Linked DNA regions of Struthio camelus. The protein of the gene in region 1 interacts with the protein of each later gene in a biochemical or structural test. Links are inferred from orthologs where the notes say so. Each region holds a gene or a part of one and is shown on either strand. Other genes may lie near its edges. The genes, in order: SIK2 and CRTC2.

What was found.
Region 2: of the proteins of SIK2 (region 1) and CRTC2, one has a biochemical effect on the other in vitro, tested with the Homo sapiens proteins (2 studies listed by BioGRID). The link is inferred for Struthio camelus from reciprocal best matches to the Homo sapiens genes SIK2 and CRTC2.

Annotation. Positions count from the first base shown.
Region 1 is NC_090963.1:2,873,090-2,876,988, forward strand, and holds the start of SIK2 (serine/threonine-protein kinase SIK2), read right to left. Parts: upstream 2,623-3,899; 5' UTR 2,533-2,622; coding exon 2,383-2,532; intron 452-2,382; exon of another isoform or gene 386-451; intron 1-385. UniProt on the Homo sapiens protein: Serine/threonine-protein kinase that plays a role in many biological processes such as fatty acid oxidation, autophagy, immune response or glucose metabolism.
Region 2 is NC_090971.1:4,536,150-4,540,048, reverse strand, and holds the start of CRTC2 (CREB-regulated transcription coactivator 2), read right to left. Parts: upstream 2,497-3,899; 5' UTR 2,482-2,496; coding exon 2,305-2,481; intron 1-2,304. Other genes in the region: SLC39A1 (zinc transporter ZIP1), read right to left, coding at 3,716-3,899. UniProt on the Homo sapiens protein: Transcriptional coactivator for CREB1 which activates transcription through both consensus and variant cAMP response element (CRE) sites.

The DNA.
Region 1 (3,899 bases):
GATAAGCTAAATATTCTTCCATAGCAAGTTTAATAGAGGCAGTCATGTGCAGCATATAAGTAAACACAAGAAAGCAGCAACTTAAGAAATTTAAGCCAAACTTAATATCCAACAGTTTAGAACAAGTCTCAGAATCAAATGTCTTCCATCTAGACATGTTATTAAGCGGGACTCCCGCTCTCTTATGTGCGTAGTCAGCTACCATTAAATTAAGTGAGGTTGTCCCAAACTTGGGGTGCTTATTCAAAGCAGTATTCCGTTAAAATTACTTTCTCTTGACGTTACTAAAAGTGATCTGAACAGGGTTCCTCTTCCTCAAAGATCACGTCAATACTTCGAGCAACTAAGCAATTAACTTCCAAATAAATATTCTTGCATCTCTTACCGCAAAAATTCACAGCAATGTAACTGTACTGAAAAGTGAAGTTTGACACAGAAGTCTCATAGGCAAGTTTACTGTAAAAATAATGCAGAAATAAAAAGGCTCCAGATTAGACACTGTACACAAGGCTTCTCATAAAAGATAAACTCGGTTAACAGAACTCAAACTTGTACTGATGACAATGTACTGGAATTTAAGAATTTCTGAGGGTACAGGTGGAAGAATCGTACCAGAATGAGAGAGCTGTTAAGCTCCTAATTTTCTATATACTCATTATTTTGAACAATACCAAACAAAGACTTCTTAAAATAACAAGGTCAAGACTGAAGTATTCCTCCTCATCATAAAGCCCATATATAAGACAGAACACCACTAAAAAGGACAACCTACTGCTTTCAAGTGGAATACTTAGAAATTTGGCATATAGCATCCAACTTGAGAACAGAACACCTTCAGGTAATCGTCAAAGGTCTTAACTTGCTCTTCAGTAACAAAAGAGAAAGATTTAAAGTGATTAGCAGTTTATTGTGCAACTTGAGAAATATGGCTCTAATTTAATGTTTAGGATGCAAAGCCCATCCACCACAGCACAGCCAGAACAACATCAGCATTGGAGGTTTGTTTTCTTTAACCAAAGCCCAAGCTCATGGCAGTTTTCATTCTTGTGAGGAATGAGTCTGTCATATGAGAAGACTACAGCAACTGCTTAATGTCAGGTTTTTTTCAATTTGTTTACTTTGTATTTTGGACAACACTTTGATTAGCCAATTTCCTTATTTTTGACTGGTATAAGCACCACATAAAGCTCTTCAGTAAAGAGCAAAAAAGATCTTCACAGAGACTGACAAAGAGCTCACCCCTAGTATTTCAGAAGAAAACATGAGAGGAAGCTGATCGTTCAAAGCCATTACTCCCATTAGATGGCAGTTTTTAGAGTGCACCTGACTACATATTACCCAAATAGACTGCAATAATTATAGCTTTAGGTGAAGCATGAAAGGTTAACAGTTTCAAGGCTGGTACTCACTATGTAACATTTGGGGCAAGCAAAAACAGCGAAAAACTAAAATGGTTGGATTTGGTTCATTTGTAGCATGTCTTACTGGGAGGACTCATAGCAAGATATATATATAAAAAATAGTTCCTTCACTAAAACAGACTACTACGGCTCATCTAAAAGTACTAGCCAAGTGAGGAAACTAATGTATGCAGGACAACAAACCAGCCACAAGCCAAGATCTTAGCCTCCCTTATCAGCAGCAAGCAAGTTACCATTATCTGATCAGCGTGCCTCATGAACTATGCCAACAGCTGTTCACCCCCTCACACACAGCCCCCAGCATCCTTACTGTCACAGCCACAAACCAGCAAGTGCACTGCCACAGGGAGGGGGGCTGGAGCCACAGGGACACCCTGCTACAGCTGGGCTCAGAGGCGTTACTGCTGCCCTTGCCAGGAAAACCAAAAATAAGAATAAGCAGGCATGATTCGTCCTTCAAAGCCTGCTCACAGCAAAGCACTTCAAGTAAAATCCCCCTCCTCACACCTTCTCCTAAAGGAGAAGGTTCCTGCGCCAGAAGGGACAAAGCCGTGCAAGGGCGCCTGCCGACCTCCCCCCCAGCTGAGCCACCCAGCTTACGCCTCTGTAAAACCCCAAACCCTGAGCCGAGCCTCACAGCCCCAAAGGCGAACACCCCCTCCCCCAAAGCCCCATGGCCACCCCACACCCCGAGCCGAGCCTCACAGCCCCAAAGGTGAACACCCCCCCCCCCCCGCCCAGAGAAACCCTGAGCCGAGCCCCACAGCGCTAAGGCCCATCCATACCCCGAGCCGAGCCCAACAGACAGCTCGAAGCCCCGAGGAGAGCCCGAGCGAGCTTCCCCCCCCCCCCCTTCCAACGGTCCCAACGGTCGGCGCGCGCGCGAGGCCCGGCGGCGGCCGGGCGGCGCCGGGGCAGGGGGCGGCCGCGGCCCCCGCCGCCTCGCATCTCCCCGCCTCACCTCGCTGCGCGTGATGCGGTGCCGCGCCAGCTTGACCACGGCGAAGTTGCCCTTGCCCAGCGTGCCCTCGATGTCGTAGAAACCGACGCGGACGGGCCCGGGCCCGCGGGGCAGCAGCGGGGGGGGCCGCCGGGGCTCGGCCATTACCATGCTGGGCGCGGGGGGCGGCGGCGGCTCCGACGCGAGCGGCGGCGGCAGCGGCTCGCGTCCGTCTGCGGCGCCCTGGAGCCGCGCCGCCCCGCCCCCTCCGCCCTCCTCCACCAACCGCGCGTCACCGCGCGCGTCAGCGGGGGCGGGGCCTCGCCATGGCAACCGGAGCCACCGCGGCGGGGCGGCCGCCGGGCCTCCCCTCCCCGGCGGCCCCCGCAGCGCGGCAAGGCCGGGCGGAGGGGGAGAGGAAAGGAGAGAAGGCACCGCACCCCCCGCTACCCCGAGCTACCTCCCTCCACCAAGATGTAAGGAGCCGCCTCCTCCACCGTCACAGCCCTGGGGCCAGGGAGAGGGCCCCCCCCCCCCCATGCCCTCAAGCCTAGGCCCCTCGCACCTGTGTGCACAGCAGGGCTGAGTCAGCTACATTAGCACCACCCACAAAAAACCAAGGGGCTCCCCCCGGTGCTCCTCCACCGCAGGAGCCCCCCCCCCCCCCCAGGTGCCACTCCAGCACTGCATCAGCATCTCAGCTCCCAGCCTGCTCCACAGCCTCAAGAACAGCTCTAAGGCCTGGGGGCCATCACCACCAGCCAGGACCAGATCCTCGGCTTCCGGAGGGAAATGCCCTTCCCCTTGCGGAGAACAGCATTTCAAGGCCACCACAGTCGTCCTACATCAGAAGGATGCCCTTAATGTAATCGGCCTGTACATATCAAAATAGCCATCAGCATTTCCCATCACTTAGATGTCAAAGCAGTGAGGCCCCTTCAGCATAAAATGGTTACACAGCTGACAGTGGTAGTGTGTGAAGAGGAAGGCCTCTTACACCTAATTTCCCTTCCACTACTCAGTCCACCTAGTTCACTTCACTGCTTGTAATTCAGTTATGTTGGCTTCTAAAATCGCCATGCTCTTTTCAGCAATCTGCCCTCCTCCCGTTCTCACTTGTCCCTCCTTGCTCCCCTCTGACTGACCCACCTCACCCTGGGAGATCGGCACCACCTGACATCCAGGTAACAGGAATCGCCCTCCGGAGGTTTCCTGCAGTGCTGCTGACTGAGCAAGGCATGTCCCAGAGCTGGTGGCATGAGGGCACACACGTGTCTGTCGAGTCAGCTGCACATTCAGCAGCAGTTACAGGCCCGCTCCGTATTCCAGAGCGCCACGGACGCAAACACTAATGAGACCACCGCTTGGCCACAAAAGGAAAAAGTTCATGAATGCAAGGAACTAAACATCTGTCTCACATCTTCCCTTTACATAGGAGTTTTGTATTTAAAGCTGCCTCATACTTGTGGAAGGTTGTTTAAATTTGTCAGCTGCTATAAAGTAATCATCCTTCTGACTAGGCAACTGAAGACCTGAGT
Region 2 (3,899 bases), on another chromosome or scaffold:
GCAGGACCCCGAGGCTGCCAAAGCAGCTCACGGCACTTGCTCCCGGCCGCGGAGGCAGAGACTGCAGAGTCCCGCTACTGGACTGCAGACTGGGTTGGCAAAATCCACGTCTCCGGCAGCTGAATTCTGGCCAAATCCTAATCCTGGCAACATTCACACAATCCCCACTGACTTCACAGGGCCAGCGCAGAGCAAAACACGAATCGGAGCCGATCATCTCTTCTAGATAGTTTCCCCTGCATGGGAAACCACGTTCCTGGAGATATGCGGCTGCGTTCCTGGCCTCTCTTCTTCACCACCAGCCCCCAAATATCCAAGAGCAGCACCGCTCGGCTCCTCTCCTAAGATCCCTTTGGCCCCGTTCTGGGAAGCCCTGGGTCAGCACAGGATAGCAACGCTCATTCCCCACCCCCAGAAGCTGCCGAATGGGGAAATCTTGGCCACTGCAGGCACAGACGAGGAGACCAGACGCAGGCGCGTCCCACAAGCCCCACTCAGCCGGCTCGCCCAAGCCAGCAGTGCCGCTCCCAGTGCTACATTTTCTCAGGCTTTGGCCAATCTAATTTTAAGTGTCTCTAGGGATGAAGCTTCCGCCACTTCCCGTGGGAGCCAGCTGCACGGTCCTACAGATCGCACAGGCGGGAAAGACTAACGCAATGCTCAGCCTAAAGCTCCCAATACACCGAGAATCCCCGGTGCTCACGGAGAAGCCTCCCAGGTCCTGCAGCTAGCAGAAGATCGCTCAGCAGAGGTGACTTCCACACGGCAGCGCTGCTACCAGGACTTCTGACTTGGAAACCGTGATCCCAAGCCAGGGCCCTCCCAGCACCCAGAGCTGACTGAGACCCAGCGGGCACAGCTGGAGCCTGGAGGCAACTGCCCATCCCGGAGCCGTGGGCACAAGGACCCCTCCTCTCCCCCAGAGCAGTGGAAAGACAACTGTCAGCGAGAGTCCTCGTGAACCTGCCGAGCCCTTAGTCACACAGACGCCACAGGCGGCAAGAGTCGCTTTTTCCATCTGATTGCCAGGACGTGAACTCAGCACACGGAAACAGAGGACGTGCACGGTGCGCACCAAGACCCACACACAGCAGCCACAGACCAGAACAAGCCACGTGCAAACCCGTGCAGAAAAACCCAGCAGCAAAAACAGAAAAACAAATAAACAAACAAAAAGGAAAGAAAAGGAAAACCGGAGCCCAGTCAGGCACCGGGAAGCAAGCACTACCGGAACTAAGCTTTCCCTGGGGCACCTGGTCCTCTCTGCATCTCCCAGCCCCTTCAAAGGGAGACCGGCCTCTGCCCACCCTTGTGGGGAGAGCCCCAGAGTGGCGCCCCATCCAGCCCCACCGCCTGCCACGCTGGGCACTCACTGCCGGTGCCCCCTGCCCCACCGCATCAACCGCCCCATTGCAACACCCCCCTGCACCCCGACCTGTGCCTCACCCCCTCTGCACCTCGTTATGCCCCCTCTGGACACCCAGCCCCTTGCCCCCCCCATACAACGCCCCCCAGCCTTCTGTACCCCACCCCCTCTACATCCCTGACTCCCACCTGACGCCCCCCAGCCCCTCTGCACCCCCTTGTCCCCCCTGTTCCCACCTGACTCCCCCAGCCCCTCTGCACCCCCTTGTCCCCCCTGTTCCCACCTGACTCCCCCAGCCCCTCTGCACCCCCTTGTCCCCCCTGTTCCCACCTGCCCCCCCACCCCTCCACATCCCCTTGTCCCCCCTGTCCCTACCTGGTTCCCCAACCCCTCCATACCCCCCCATTCCCCCCTCAGACCCCCAGCCCCTCCACACCCCCTTGTCCCCACCGGGACCCCCAACCCCTCCGCACCCCCCTGTCCCCACCGGGACCCCCAACCCCTCCGCACCCCCCTGTCCCCACCTGGACCCCCAGCCCCTCCGCATCCCCCTGTCCCCACCGGGACCCCCAGCCTCTCCACACCCCCTTGTCCCCACCTGGACCCCCAGCCCCTCCGCACCCCCTTGTCCCCACCTGGACCCCCAGCCCCTCCGCACCCCCCTGTCCCCACCTGGACCCCCAACCCCTCCGCACCCCCCTGTCCCCACCGGGACCCCCAGCCCCTCCGCACCCCCTCGCCGCCCCTGCCCGCCGCCCCCGGTTACGCCCCCCCAAAGCCCGGCCCCCGGCAGCCCCCGGCCCCCGTCTCGGCTGCCCCGGCCCGCCAGCCCCTCGCCCCCCGGCCCGGGGCTGCGGCGGGGGCGGCCCCGGCGGTGCCCCGCCGCCCCCGGGCCCGGCGCGCATCCGGCGGCGGAGGCCGCGGCCGTGCCTGCTCACCCGGGTGGAGCAGATCTCCATCATCACCTCCTCGAAGGCCGCCGTCTCCTCCGCCTGCCGCTGCTTCTGCAGCGCGATCTTCTCGCTGAACTTGCGCGGGTTGGAGGCGCCGGCGCCGGTCGAGGAGCCCGCACCGGGCCCGGGCCCGGGCCCGGCCCCCGCGCCCGCCGCCGCCATCTTCCCTGCTCGGGCCGCTCCGGCCGCCGCCGCCGCCGCCGCCGCTGCCGCCGCCGCCGCGCGGGGCACGCTGGGGCGGGTAGTCCGCGCTCCGGGAGGCGCCGCGGCGCCGCGGGGGTCTCGCACTACAATTCCCAGCAGCCCCCGCGGCGCCGCCGCAAGGAGCGGCGGGAAACGGAGTCCCTGGCCCCCCCCCGGAGGGCGCCCCCCGCACTGCGCGGGGTGGGGAGCGCCGCCTCGACTACAACTCCCGGCGTGCACCGCGCGCTTCCCCCCCCCCCCCGCGGAAGAGGGGGGCAGTACTGCGGGGGGACACATCTGGGGGGGGAAGCGGGGGGGATATTGCATGGGGGTGACAGTAGGGGGCACATCTGGGGGTGGCAGCGGAGGGGGGATATTGCATGGGGGGTGACAGTAGGGGGCACGTCTGGGGGGTGGCAGCGGAGGGGGGATATTGCATGGGGTGACAGTAGGGGGCACATCTGGGGGGTGCAGAAGCACAGGGGTAATATTTCATGGGGTGACATTGCAGGATGTGGGCAAATGCGGGGGGAGCTCAGCAGGATAATATTGCATGGGGGGGACACTGGGGGGCAAACTTGGGCAGTGGGGGGGGTGACAGTGCAGGGGAGCAATATTGCAGGGGGGGAGCGTAGGGGGCTAACGTTGCAGGGGGCTAGCACCGCAATGGGGGCAATACTGGGGGGGGCAACGCTCCAAGGGGAGGGTACTGCATGGGAGGATCACACTGCGCAGCAGAGTAGGGGGGGGACCCTGACCACGGCCCCCCGCGCAGCTCCCCGCTCCGGGGCCGGAGGCCTCCCCCGAGTGTCCCCACCACGCTGGGCGCCAGGGAGCCGGGCACAGCTATCGCATCGAGTCCTTTATTTGCTTTTTCAGTCCGAAATCTCCCCCCGCCCGCGGGTGGCAGAGGGCGGCCGGGGACGCGGGCACCGCTGGGACCCGCCGGCGCGCTAAGAGCACTTGTGGGCACAGGGGGAAGACGCGTGCCGGCCCCGCGGTCCGACCGGGAATAGCACCGTTCCCCCTCGACGGACGGGGAAACCAAGGCACAGGGAAGGGGCTCGCCCCAGGGACGGCCCCGCTCCGCTGGGGCGGCACTTTGGCACTTGCACGTGGGACTCGGCGGGGCAGCGGGCGCCGCCAGCTCCGGGTTTCACCCAAAATGGGCTGCGTAGGGCTGCCTTCCCGGGCTTGCCGGGAGGGGAGGATCTCAGATCTTGATGAAGAGGATGGCGGTGACGAGGGAGAAGCCGGCGATGAGCAGGATGACCTTGAGGATGCGGTGCTGGGGGGCGCCCAGCTCGTGGGGCAGGATCTCCAGAAAGGTGATGTAGACGAAGGTGCCGGCGGCCAGGCCCTCGAGCACGCTGCGCCAGAGGCGCTGCAGGGCGCCG